2 linked regions of the Arabidopsis thaliana genome follow. The protein of the gene in region 1 purifies or fractionates together with the protein of each later gene. This does not show direct contact. Each region holds a gene or a part of one and is shown on either strand. Other genes may lie near its edges. The genes, in order: UBP14 and AT4G32580.

What was found.
Region 2: the proteins of UBP14 (region 1) and AT4G32580 fractionate together in Arabidopsis thaliana (co-fractionation; one large-scale study listed by BioGRID). This does not show direct contact.

What each region holds. Positions count from the first base shown.
Region 1 is NC_003074.8:7,201,903-7,210,572, reverse strand, and holds UBP14 (ubiquitin-specific protease 14), read left to right. Parts: upstream 1-2,025; 5' UTR 2,026-2,232; coding exon 2,233-2,328; intron 2,329-2,431; coding exon 2,432-2,603; intron 2,604-2,696; coding exon 2,697-2,809; intron 2,810-2,911; coding exon 2,912-3,248; intron 3,249-3,476; coding exon 3,477-3,571; intron 3,572-4,258; coding exon 4,259-4,392; intron 4,393-4,467; coding exon 4,468-4,524; intron 4,525-4,632; coding exon 4,633-4,710; intron 4,711-4,979; coding exon 4,980-5,034; intron 5,035-5,144; coding exon 5,145-5,168; intron 5,169-5,309; coding exon 5,310-5,390; intron 5,391-5,525; coding exon 5,526-5,724; intron 5,725-5,807; coding exon 5,808-5,865; intron 5,866-5,940; coding exon 5,941-6,066; intron 6,067-6,155; coding exon 6,156-6,244; intron 6,245-6,337; coding exon 6,338-6,427; intron 6,428-6,668; coding exon 6,669-6,839; intron 6,840-6,934; coding exon 6,935-7,047; intron 7,048-7,143; coding exon 7,144-7,273; intron 7,274-7,396; and 3 more. UniProt on the Arabidopsis thaliana protein: Recognizes and hydrolyzes the peptide bond at the C-terminal Gly of ubiquitin. Involved in the processing of poly-ubiquitin precursors as well as that of ubiquitinated proteins. Involved in seed and embryo development.
Region 2 is NC_003075.7:15,718,303-15,722,435, reverse strand, and holds AT4G32580 (Thioredoxin superfamily protein), read left to right. Parts: upstream 1-1,900; coding exon 1,901-2,071; intron 2,072-2,145; coding exon 2,146-2,220; intron 2,221-2,321; coding exon 2,322-2,558; 3' UTR 2,559-2,799; downstream 2,800-4,133. Other genes in the region: AT4G32590 (2Fe-2S ferredoxin-like superfamily protein), read right to left, coding at 136-198, 367-420, 629-742, 828-1,019; TIFY8 (TIFY domain protein 8), read left to right, coding at 3,734-3,980.

The sequences.
Region 1 (8,670 bases):
ATAAGAATCACCGCATTTTTAAACGAAGAGGAGATAAGTTAATGGACAAGTGAAACGTGTTGTCCATTTATACTTCTTATTCATAGAACTAAAAAATAATGTGTAATTGAAGAACCATGCATAGATATATAAGAGCTATTGAGATTTGACATGTATTTTTTCACACGACCAAATTAATTCCAAACATATATCTATAGGTTTTTTTGGGGGGTTATAATAGTTATGTATGAAAGATAGATGTTTTTTTTTTTTTTTTTTTTTTTTTTTTTTAACATTACCTTCATTTATAAAACGAAATCGAATACACACCGCCTCCAAAACGAGTAACACCTACAAAACAACAAAGAAAAGTAAAACAAAGCATATGATCAAATAAAGAGACCGAACCAAGTGGCGAGGTACGATAAACCATTGGGGCCAATACGTTGAGCTCGTGAGAGAGGATCAAGATGAGTGCGAATAAGATTCTTTATCTCCATAATCAGTCCAGCAGCAGGTCTCGAAGAAGAAGTGTGCAGACGAGTGTTCCGTTCCCTCCAAAGAGTATAAACATTGATTCAGAGAAGAATAGATGTTATGTATGAAAGATAGATGTTAAGTTATTCGTTAGAGAAGAATGTAGGGATCTATAATGTAAGTATTGTCTTCATTGATTCAGAGAAGGAGAAAGGTGATTTAATTATGGAGAAAAGGAGCTTTTGTTTCTTCCTTTTTTTAGCTATTCTAATTTTTGAAAGGGAATAATTAGATTCCACGAATAAGAGAGAGTAATGTGTTAATATGCATATTTTGATTGGACAAGAGGAAAAAAATCTTGGGACAGATATATTTTTATAACTTTGGAATAATGTTAGTGGAAGTAAGATATGGCCCACAATGGTTTTTACTTTTATATCAGAAAGGTTCTTTATTGAACACTTGTTAAAGAAAAAAAAAGCATTTCATGCTTCCCAAAAATCCGCCTCCTTACATTTTCATTAAACTGAATTATTGTTTAAAGGGATACGAGTATTTTCAAAAGAGAAATAGTTTTCTATATGGAGAAACTTGTATGGAAAAAAATCGGCTCTGCTATTTTGTTGTCAACAACTCTAGTGGATTTAGGCCTTTTTAACTTCTTATATAGAAATTTGAACCAACACAGTGAGATCTAAGGACATGAAGTTAGATCACTGACCTATCAATTCCAGTTTGATTTTGATATATCATTGTCCGTAAAAAAAATATGAAAAATTTCTAAAATTGAGGTAACTGAAAAAGGTGACTTCTGTTCTCTTTAGAGTATTGTTATCCCGCGATTCTCATTTATACTATTCATCAAATTACCACTAGTTCATGCATAAGTTATACATTGAGTCATTGATAAACGATATATACTCGGACTATTATTAGTATTATAGTTTTCAGCACCACATGTAAAGTTGTCTTGTTTCGTAAATATAGTTTTCGTCGACACTGTTGTGGATGTATTTGATTTTAAATTCTGAGAAATGTACAGACTTGTGATATTCCGTGATTGGAATTGGCCTTATGAAAACAAGACAACTTTAATTAGCTAAGTAGCCCAAAAACACATTAATTAAACAATCGAGTTGAACCAAAACATTTTAGCATGCTAGAAGAACCAAGGAATCTTTGTGGAGTTGGATCTGATTCATCACCATTGTTCATTCTTCATAAATCATAAGCATTCATATATTACATGAACTTTGAATACCTCTTTTTCCCAAGAGTAGACATCCACCTTTTTTTTTTCATTTCAAAAATCATCAAACGATATCCTCACACTTAGTAATTTTCGTGTTGAACAAGAACATGTAAAACCCACATTGGCCACATTGTGATTTATGGTTTCTTCTTTTGATTCATTCTACATCCATGCATATGGGTCAATCAAATAGTCTTGGGTCTATTGGGTAAATACAAACTCTAATGGGCTGTACAATATTCTTTTTGTGTATCCAAACTCTATCCTTAATTTAGAATATTTTCAAAATTAACCCAACAAAAAGTCGGTTAACGAAATTTCCCCAAATTGACAACAACTTTTGCTTTATTGCAATTCTCCCCAAAACCTCAGGCAATAAGAAAGGAATTTAGAAGGACGACGACGTTTCTCATCATCCGTACCTTCCTTGTTAAGTTGTAACGGAGACGTGTGATATCACTCAACAACACATATCTGTCTCTCCGTCGTCAGAGAGTTTCTTTCGCCGATTTCGCAAAAACCCTATGGAGCTCCTCCGATCCAACTTGTCTAGGGTTCAGATCCCTGAACCTACTCATCGCATCTACAAGCATGAGTGTTGCATCTCCTTCGATACTCCGGTAAAGCCTCTCTCTCACTTCGTTTTCTTCTTCAAATTCCGACTACTCTCGACTCTTCTCTCGTTTTCTTCGGTTTTGATGAATTCGCAATGATGATTTTCAGAGATCCGAAGGAGGATTGTTCGTTGATATGAATAGTTTTCTTGCTTTCGGGAAGGATTATGTTTCTTGGAACTATGAGAAGACTGGAAACCCTGTTTATCTTCATATTAAGCAGACTAGGAAGTCTATTCCCGAGGATCGGCCTCTCAAGAAACCGACTCTGCTCGCTATAGGTATATATACAATGATGATTACAATGCCGTATCTATACTGATTTTTGAACATAGAGTCGAGAGATTGGTTTTGAACTGTTAATCAATTTGCAGGTGTTGATGGAGGCTTTGATAACAATGAGCCAGAGTACGAGGAGTCTTATAGCATAGTCATACTTCCGGATTTTGTTTCACTCCCGTTTCCTTCTGTTGAGCTACCAGAGAAGGTGTTTGTTAGCACTATGTTGTTGATTTTAGGTGTGTTATCAGAGAGTGGTTTATGGAAAACACATTGCATGTATTTAGCTTTTTGTGATTTGTTATTGCAGGTGAGGATTGCTGTCGATACTGTAGTGAATGCCGTTGGTGCTGAGCGGAAAGAGCAAGTTGCAGCTTGGACAGCTGAGAAAAAGTTAATTAGTGAACATGCATTGACACTGCAGCAAATCAAGAGTGGCATTGTCATTCCTCCCTCTGGTTGGAAATGTTCTAAGTGTGATAAGACGGAGAATCTCTGGCTTAATCTTACCGATGGAATGATTCTCTGTGGAAGAAAAAACTGGGATGGAACTGGTGGAAACAACCATGCTGTTGAGCACTACAAAGAGACAGCCTACCCTCTTGCTGTAAAGCTTGGAACTATCACTGCTGACTTAGAAGCAGCAGGTAAAGTTGTCTTGTTTCCTTATTCGTAGAACCAGAGATTAGTCATTAAACTTCACTTTTGTGTATGGCTAATATCAGTTGATAGTTGTCTCTTTGGGGTGGATAAGGGGGACTTCCTGCATCACTTTGTTTTTTTTTTTTAATGTTGATGCATGTGGATTATCTTGTTCTTTGGATGGGTTTTGATTTCTTCAGCACTTAATCATTGCAAATTTTTTGGCAGCTCAGATGTTTATTCCTATCCGGAAGATGACAGTGTTTTGGACCCGCTCCTGGCTGAGCATCTGGCCCATTTTGGAATTGACTTCTCGTCGATGCAGAAGGTTAGTAATGATGGTTCATGGTTCTGTTAAAGTATAAAAGTGAAGAGTGGATCTTGTCTGACACTTTATATTGTTGTTTGTCTGTGGTAATGAATTTCGTGTACTGCATTTTTATTAGATACTCAAGCTTAGGTATTCCCATAATGATATGGTTTGTTAAGATACCCATCCTGGGTTGCATTGGCAAGTGCTGGTTGTACTAGAAAGCTTATGTCTTGTGTTCATTTCTTTCTTCAGTATCAATTGCCACAAAACAACTGTAGAAACATGGAATATGTCTGAGACTAAATGTTTCTTTACCAAGAGCAAGTAGACTCACATCAGTGTTATTGCGTACTTTTTTATAATTGCGATTAAAAAGACGCAGTGCACTTGGAGAATGTAATTTCAGGTCGTTTTGAGACAATAATTCCCATTCACGCGTTCAGTCTGTTTACTTGTAATTGTTGCGTCACATGTAAACATTTACAATAGTAAACTGTATTGTGTCTTTTTTCCTCATTTTTCCTTGCTCCATGTACTGCTTAAGTTAAGAGGCTTCATTTCCCAAAGCATAGGTTTTATAGTCACCTGTATTTGTTTTCTTGTTTGTACTGCCTTGATCATCATCTTTGCTAAAGATATCCCATGCTGGTTTTAATCTGAATAATGTTAACTTTCTTGAAATGTTTGCTACAATTTTCACAGACTGAAATGACAACTGCTGAAAGAGAACTTGATCAAAATACAAATTTTGATTGGAACCGTATACAAGAGAGTGGAAAAGAATTGGTGCCAGTTTTTGGACCTGGATATACCGGACTTGTCAATCTTGGGAACAGGTACTCTAATGGAAAAATTGTCAGGGATTTCGTTTCCTTGTTGATGTCTTATGCCCATTTCTTTTCTTTTGCCAGTTGCTACTTGGCAGCTACGATGCAGATTGTTTTCTCTACCCATTCATTTATTTCAAGGTAGATGCCATTGCCCATATTTCTTTTTCACTTATATAACTTAAATCAAAACAAAGCTTTTGCTCTTTGATTCAACTGTAGTAACTTTTGGTTCTGAGATTGTTGCAGATACTTTTCACATCAGAGCTTAAAGATGGCTTTTGAGATGGCTCCTGCTGATCCAACTTTGGACCTCAATATGCAATTGTGAGTTATTGTTAGAAAAAATGTTACTAAGTTTATGCTCTGGACTTTCTGAAATCATGTGATTGAAATCTTGGCATCGTTATGATGAAAGGGTTTTAAGATTATATTTGTGCATACTCTGTATCTGCATGCACGTGCTTTAGTTTCTGTTTTTCTCTCCGTTTGGTTTGATATGCTGTGCACTTTTTCTAACTAATCTGATTTCCATGAGGAATAATTGCATGGTAATTTGCATATTTATTTCATACTCCTTGCACTGTTGGTTGTAGAACAAAGCTTGGACACGGCTTACTATCTGGGAAGTACTCAATGCCTGCAACTCAGGTATAACTATAGTAGGAAATATTTTTGCTTGTATGCATATATATATGTATATGATCTAAACCACCTTTTAGAGCCTCAGTACATTGATTTCGCCTTTCTTCTGATTGCAGAAGGATGCTACAACTGGAGATCCTGTAAGATTTTTATTTGAAGTCCTGTGTTTAACTTTTGAATAAATATATGTATGCGGATGGCCACACTTTTTTTTTTGCATACCCCACTTGTGTTGATTTCTGATGACTTTACATCTTGTTTCGTTTTTTAATCGATAATAGAGACAAGAAGGAATACCTCCTCGCATGTTCAAAAACGTAATTGCCGCGAGCCACGCAGAATTCTCTTCTATGAGACAGCAGGTGAAAACCATGTCTTTTTTAATGTTCGGAGTTTTGTTTATTTTTTAACTTGTATTGGAACGATACTCCTTTTCGGCATCAGTTAACGAAATTATTTTATGTTTTCATACTAACTAGCACCAATCTGTCTTGTAGGATGCTCTCGACTTTTTCCTCCATCTGGTAGGCAAGGTTGAGCGTGCTAGCAACACGACACCAGATTTAGACCCCTCGAGGAGCTTCAAGTTTGGAATAGAAGAGAAGATCCTTTGTCCGTCTGGAAAGGTTGGATATAATAAGAGGGAAGACTGTATTCTTTCTTTGAACATTCCGCTACATGAGGCAACTAATAAAGGTATATCCTGTTCGTCTGTCTATGTTCCTCTTCCTTTATCGTTTGGCGTGTTTCTTAATTTTGCTTAATGTTTGGTGATCAAGATGAATTAGAAGCCTTTCACAAGCAAAAAGCAGGAAAAGGATTGGAAGAGAATGATATGTGAGTCAATGGACTTAAGTTTAAATCTGTTTCATAGTTTCACTGCTTATCTAAGATTTTTTTGTTTATTTTCAGGAGGTCAAGTGATGAAATAGTACGCCCACGAGTTCCTTTAGAAGCCTGTCTAGCAAATTTTGCATCATCAGAGCCGATTGAAGACTACTATAGCTCTGCTTTGAAGGGAATGACAACAGCTATCAAGTAAGATATTGTTTTTTACCGAGTGAATTCTTTTGCAACCAAGATTAGAATGAAAGCAAGGCTTGACTTTTGGTTCCCATTTTATGCAGGACAACTGGTTTGACATCTTTCCCAGATTATTTGGTCTTGCACATGCGGAAATTTGTTATGGAGGAAGGCTGGGTGCCAAAGAAACTTGGTCTCTTTCTTTCTGAAACAATGATCCTTATAATGTTCCCCTATTGTCCCTGTATATAAATACTTATTATCCTTTCTTGATTTACTGTGGCAGATGTATACATTGATGTTCCGGATGTTATTGATATCAGCCACATGCGTAGCAAAGGACTCCAACCTGGGGAAGAACTGTTGCCAGATGGCGGTATGTTGTTATATTTATCACAGGAGTGGTGTGTTCATAATTCACATAAATAATGATTGATTGACTCCATTTATTGATTGTTTCAAACTCGTGGTATCTTTTCTGGTGTCATGACTACTAGCCTTTGGAATTAGCACTCAGTTTCCTAATCATTAAAAAGTATCAGCATCCCTTAAACGGTTTCTTTATGGCACTCAGTCTCCTTATAATTCTGTTGGCTATTGGATTTTTCTGTATACAGTTCCAGAAGAAGTGATGGAATCAGCGCAGCCCGTGGCAAATGAGGAGATAGTTGCACAGCTAGTCTCAATGGGATTTAGCCAGCTTCACTGCCAGAAAGCTGCCATAAATACTTCCAATGCTGGGGTTGAAGAGGCAATGAACTGGTTACTTTCTCACATGGATGATCCAGGTAATTGAAAATAGTTCCACAAGTCTTTAGTTGAGGCTCAACTAAATTACGACTCGAGACCGATTTCTAATATGATGAGGCATTATGTTTCATAGACATCGATGCACCAATCTCCCACCAGACATCTGACATTGATCAATCAAGCGTTGATACCTTACTCTCCTTTGGTTTTGCTGAAGATGTTGCTCGGAAGGCACTAAAAGCCTCGGTATAACACTTTTGAGCAAATTAGTTACATTTCTGCGAGGCTGTTTTTTCTTTACTCATTACTGAAATCGGTTTTGTTTTTTTTGTCTTTAATCAGGGAGGAGACATTGAGAAAGCAACAGACTGGGTATTCAACAACCCTAATGCATCTGTTTCAGACATGGATGTATCCTCTAGCAATTCAGCGCAGACTCCGGCTCAAAGTGGATTACCAGATGGAGGAGGGAGTTAGTTTCTTAAACCCTCTTTTGAGTCTTTCTATCTCATTTTGCAAAACAAATGTTAGTGTTTCGTTTTTTCCACAAAGCAGTATGAATAAAACTCTAACTCAAGATTGATCTTAAATGCAGAATACAAGCTGTTTGGAATAGTAAGTCACATGGGAACATCAGTGCACTGTGGTCATTACGTGGCTCACATATTGAAAGAAGGCCGCTGGGTAATTTTCAATGACGACAAAGTTGGTATCTCGACTGATCCTCCTAAAGACATGGGTTATGTCTACTTCTTTCAGCGGCTTGATTGATTCGATGGAGCCAGTTACAGAGACAAAAACTAATCCTTTTTTTTTTAAATAGAAACTTTTAAGGTCGATAGGGTTTTTAACATTTGGATTGAGGTGACCCATGTGACTAGTTTCGGTTCCAAAATCTTACATGTGGATTAGTAAATTTGGTTCACTTGATGATTTTATCTGTGGAACTTCGTCACAAATTTTAAGACCCGTTTAGAAGCTAAACATCATTCGCTGTCTTTTTAATTTGCCTCCTCAGTTCTCAACTACTTTCAGTTTTTTTTTTTTTTCTTTTGGATAAAAGTTTTGAGCTTTTCCTTCAGTTTTGGCATCATTGGTGCTTAGATTTATGAAAAATGAAGATATAAAAGGGGAATCATAAGTGTTTTTTTTTACATTAGCAGAAAAACTGTTGATTAAAATATTTAATCTCGGGATACACTGAAATTGGAGATCTTTTAATTAGTTTTTAAGATCAAAAAGTGGGCTAATTTGTTATATAGTTAACACTGGCCATCATTATAATCTCGAAGAGAAATAACACGAATTGTTTCTTCTTCTCCAAACACGTGTTCTTCAAATTCGCTCATATTATTCTCGATTCCCACAAACAGAAAAAGAAGATACTAAAAATTATAAAATCCCGATAATAGAATCATGAAATTGTTTCCGTTTATGGGTGTTTTAATTGCGTCTAATCGGAATCTCTTGCCGTTATCGTCTGCTTATCAGGTAACGAAAAACAGATGCTGTTCTTTACTCTTTTATTGATTTGGGAATCCATTTTCAAAGCGTTATACGATGTTTTAGGGATTTATGGTGAAATACTGAGACCATATAGAATTGAATTTTATGTGAAATTTTGGTTTAGGTTTTGTTGGATTTGTTGCTTTTATTATAAAAATTGAAGACTCATTTTTATGAATTTTCCTTTCAAAGGGTAATCAAAGAGGCACTACTGATTTCATGGATCATTGTGATTGAAGTTTTGAGAGTTGGTGAATCAGCAAGCTTCTGTTACAGGTTGGTTTCAGCCTCTTTCTCTGTTTGCATTTGGTATTTCTCACTGACATTTAACAAGTAGACAAAACATTGCTAAGTTTGCTAAAG
Region 2 (4,133 bases), on another chromosome or scaffold:
ATATATTCACATTTAACCAGAAACAATGCTCAACATTTCATTCATCTTGTTAGTGCACATACCCATTCCAAACACTAGCAATGAGAAACTTGTGAATCTAACAATAATATAGAGAGGAGTGATCAAATAACTAGCCTTTTTCAGGTACCGGTTTTCTGTATCTGTTCTCTCATTCAGAAGATCTCTGCCATCGAGTATCTGCACACAAGAAGACCAAATGTGTATTTTTTTGCTTTGAGTTACTGGTCATCATAAGAAGACCAAACACAAATCTATTTTCCTCCATTGATATCCATGAATGCTAGAACAATCATAGCTCATAAATTCATAATCAGAATCTAATTAACATTGTATGAAGTCACTTGCCTCCACAATGCAAGTTCCACAGCTTCCTCCACCACCACAGTTCATCACTTTCCCCTAATCATCACAAATTGACCAAAATCCAAAGTTTACATAAGCCTTCAACAAACCATCTCCTCACATCAAAATCTAGAACTAAATATTTTCATTGTCTACTAAATTATTCCAGAAACTAGTTCAAACATCAAATCAATCAATGTATTAAGATTGAGAAAATCTGAAGTTAAATTTCGTAATTAAAGAGAGAGAAATCAACATAACTCACGTAAGCAGCGTAGAGTTCAATTTTGTTATCCTGCATAATGCTTCTGAGAAGCTTATCTCCACTCACAGCCTTTGCTTTATCTACCGGATATGACCCGTCGCTACCCGGCTTCGGCTGCAAAGAAAAAAACGAAAAGTCTCTTCTGAGTTTTGAAACGAATTGTATCAATAATCGACGAGAAAATCGCGCCGAGAGTTACACCGAAGAACTCGAGCTCTATCTCAAGAGGCGTCACTGCAGAAATCCCCTGAGGAGATGATGCTTGAGAAGAAGAAGAAGAAGAGCTGTTACAGGAGATTACGCGAGCTCTTCCACCTCCGGAAACTTTTCGATGCTGCTGAATTTGTGCATTGGAGAAGGTGAAGCCGAGGTTGAAACCTAACGAAGCCATTTCTTCCGGCTAAATCTTCCCGTGTTAGCTTCCGATCTCCGGCGACTTTGGTACGAAGATTCCAGAAACTAAAGCTAAACCACGAATTTAATTATGTGGACTTCATCTTCTACATGTTATAAGGCTTTTTGTCTCTGTTGTTAACCCATTAACAAGCCCATTTAACTTATTTTCAATTTATATCTTCGACTTATCTTTAAATTATAAATTGAAAAGACGTTAAGTGGGCCTTTTAGTGCTAATTTTTTCAAGCCCATTTAACTTATTTGAGTCTTGGAATATTTCACTTGGAAAACAATGCGCTAATTCCATCTCCTATAATTTCCCTGTATATATTTTGAGAAGATGGATGGATTGAGCAATTTTAAAGACAAATATTTATGTAACTAAAAAATTATTCTTAACTTTCTGATGATTTATGTCTGAGGGAAGCATCTAGTATGCATTGTTTCTGTTTCATGTGAGATAAGCAAGAAAAGTAAGTGGGAAACAAGAAAGCAGAACAGTGAGATTACCAATTGTGCAAACAATCATATCATATAGTATACTTTGTTCGCCATCTTACTGTCACTTAAACAACAAAATTCACTATCATCGTTTAGCGGATTATTTTCAACTATATAACCCAGTAAAAGATAGTTTACTTGTCATGTGGTATATTTGACAGTTATCAAACTTTTGAGAGTTTGTGACACGTACGATACAGACACAAAATCAAATCTCCCTCTCCGACCATTTTTTTTTCTTAGTTACATAAATCTCTTTTCCTTCTCCAGCAACAGAAGAATTCTGCTCGATAATAGATTGGTAATCACAAAAAGAAAAGAAAAAGTGTTGGAGATCCTTCCGAGAGAGACGCGACATCTCCTTCCTCTTCGAAGATGAGTGGTACTGTGAAGGATATCGTTTCAAAGGAGGAGCTTGATAACTTGCGCCACAGCGGAGCACCACTCGTGCTTCACTTCTGGGCTTCTTGGTGTGACGCTTCGAAGCAGATGGATCAAGTTTTCTCTCATCTCGCTACTGATTTCCCTCGTGCTCACTTCTTTAGGGTTCGTCGTCTCTGTTCGAATTTTATCTCTTTCAATTGGTTTTTGACTTTGATTGGTTTTATTTATCTTCTTAGGTAGAAGCTGAGGAACATCCTGAGATATCTGAGGCTTATTCTGTTGCTCTTGTGCCGTATTTCGTCTTCTTCAAGGTAAACTTTAGGCATATTGATTCTTTGTTTGGTTGCAATTTTTTGGCTTATTGACAAAGCTTGAATCTTTGTCACTGCACTGAATCCTTTTCTTATTGAAGGATGGCAAAACTGTGGATACACTTGAAGGGGCAGATCCATCAAGTTTAGCTAATAAAGTTGGCAAAGTTGCTGGTTCTATTACTCCTGCAAGCTTAGGGTTGGCTGCAGGGCCAACGATTCTTGAAACTGTTAAGAAGAATGCGAAAGCTTCTGGACAAGACCGAGCTCAGCCTGTATCTACCGCTGATGCTCTCAAGAATCGTTTGGAAAAACTCACCCTGTTATGTTATTCATGAATGGTACTCCTGAAGAGCCTCGATTTTTAATATCTATTGAGTACTTTCTTTATAGTTGGAATTCTTGTGGATATATATCAGGTAGCTACTTGGAGCAAACATGTTGCTAAAGTTGACCTGCTACTGTTGTTTGAAGAACACGTGCTATGTCTTGTCGTTGAAGGAATTATGTTCATATGGGAAGAACATAAGCCTACTGGAAAGTTTACCCCTAGCTCTATTGTTAACCCAGATACTTGAGCCTCCATATCACAAACATCTAGTTAAGGTTTGTGTAGTAAGAACAAGAAAAACAACACGTGTTCCCAATTCCCATATAAATGACCATTATACTTCTATCAACCCAATTAATCACAGTCCGGAGACTAGTTGATTAAAAAATCAGCTAATACTAATTTGGTGGTTTCAATAAACATCTTAAATACTCCATAATTAAACTAGATTAAAGTGGGAAAAATCGTCATGAGTAGTTGTAAAATCGATTTCATTTAAGAGTATAGAAATTCGTCATGAGTGGTTGGTTCATGAGTTCTCTCTCTTACTCATATTAGAGTAAGAAATCAAACACTTATAATCATTCAAAATTCAACAACTCTCATCTCAAAACCATATATTTAGGTAAAGTTATATGCATACATTTTGCATTTTAATTTTAAAACAGATTATTTGGCGCGTAATGATAAAATTATGTGTATAAAAATTATTTAACTAATCGATCTAACAACCACATATGAGTAAAGTAGTTAACATTGTACTACTACACCAAATTATAGTGTGTTGGTTAGATTAGATACACAAACTCACTTTCTCAAATCAATAACATTATGAATCTATGATAACCTTAATTTAAAAAGAGTCTATAATGCCATGATTTTACAATCGTACTTTTTTCTTTTGGGCTGAACTTTTAATCATATATTATTTGAAAGATGTGATTATTATAATATTAAAGGGAATTAAAATCATGTAAGAGAAACCCAATAAAGTAGCTTGAAGAAGAAAAAGACAAGCTTTATTATACACTTACCCAGAAAAACAAAAAACAAAAAACTGATAATATCTCTCTCTCTCTCTCTCGTTGAGTGTGTCCATGAAATAATACTCTGCCAGAGACAGAGAGAAAGACTGTAACGGAGGATGTGGTGGCGAAGTGGCCACACTGACACACTGGTTTCATGATGGTGAACCACAACAATGGCCAGCGACCCACTGATATTGATTCTCGTCTCCGACAGACAGAACAAGATAAGCTCTTGTTCCATGACTTTTTAGGCTCCAAGAATCCTACTTTAGCATCCACTTCCATGGCTGACCATAGGCTACCACCGGATAATAAGGCGGCTAAAGCGGCGATGACTCCTTCCACGGCTTCTGCTTCCTCCGCCGGTGGACTCGGCGGTCTCTCCTCAACCTCCGATCTCGGTTCTGCTCTGTCTCTCTATCTCTCTCTCCTGATGTTTTTGTTGTTGTTGACGTAGTGTGCTTACGCTGATGAGGTTTTGAGCTGATTCCTCTGTACATTTAGGGTTTCTATCTATAGAAAGTTCAACTTTTGTTACATAGATTCGATTTAAA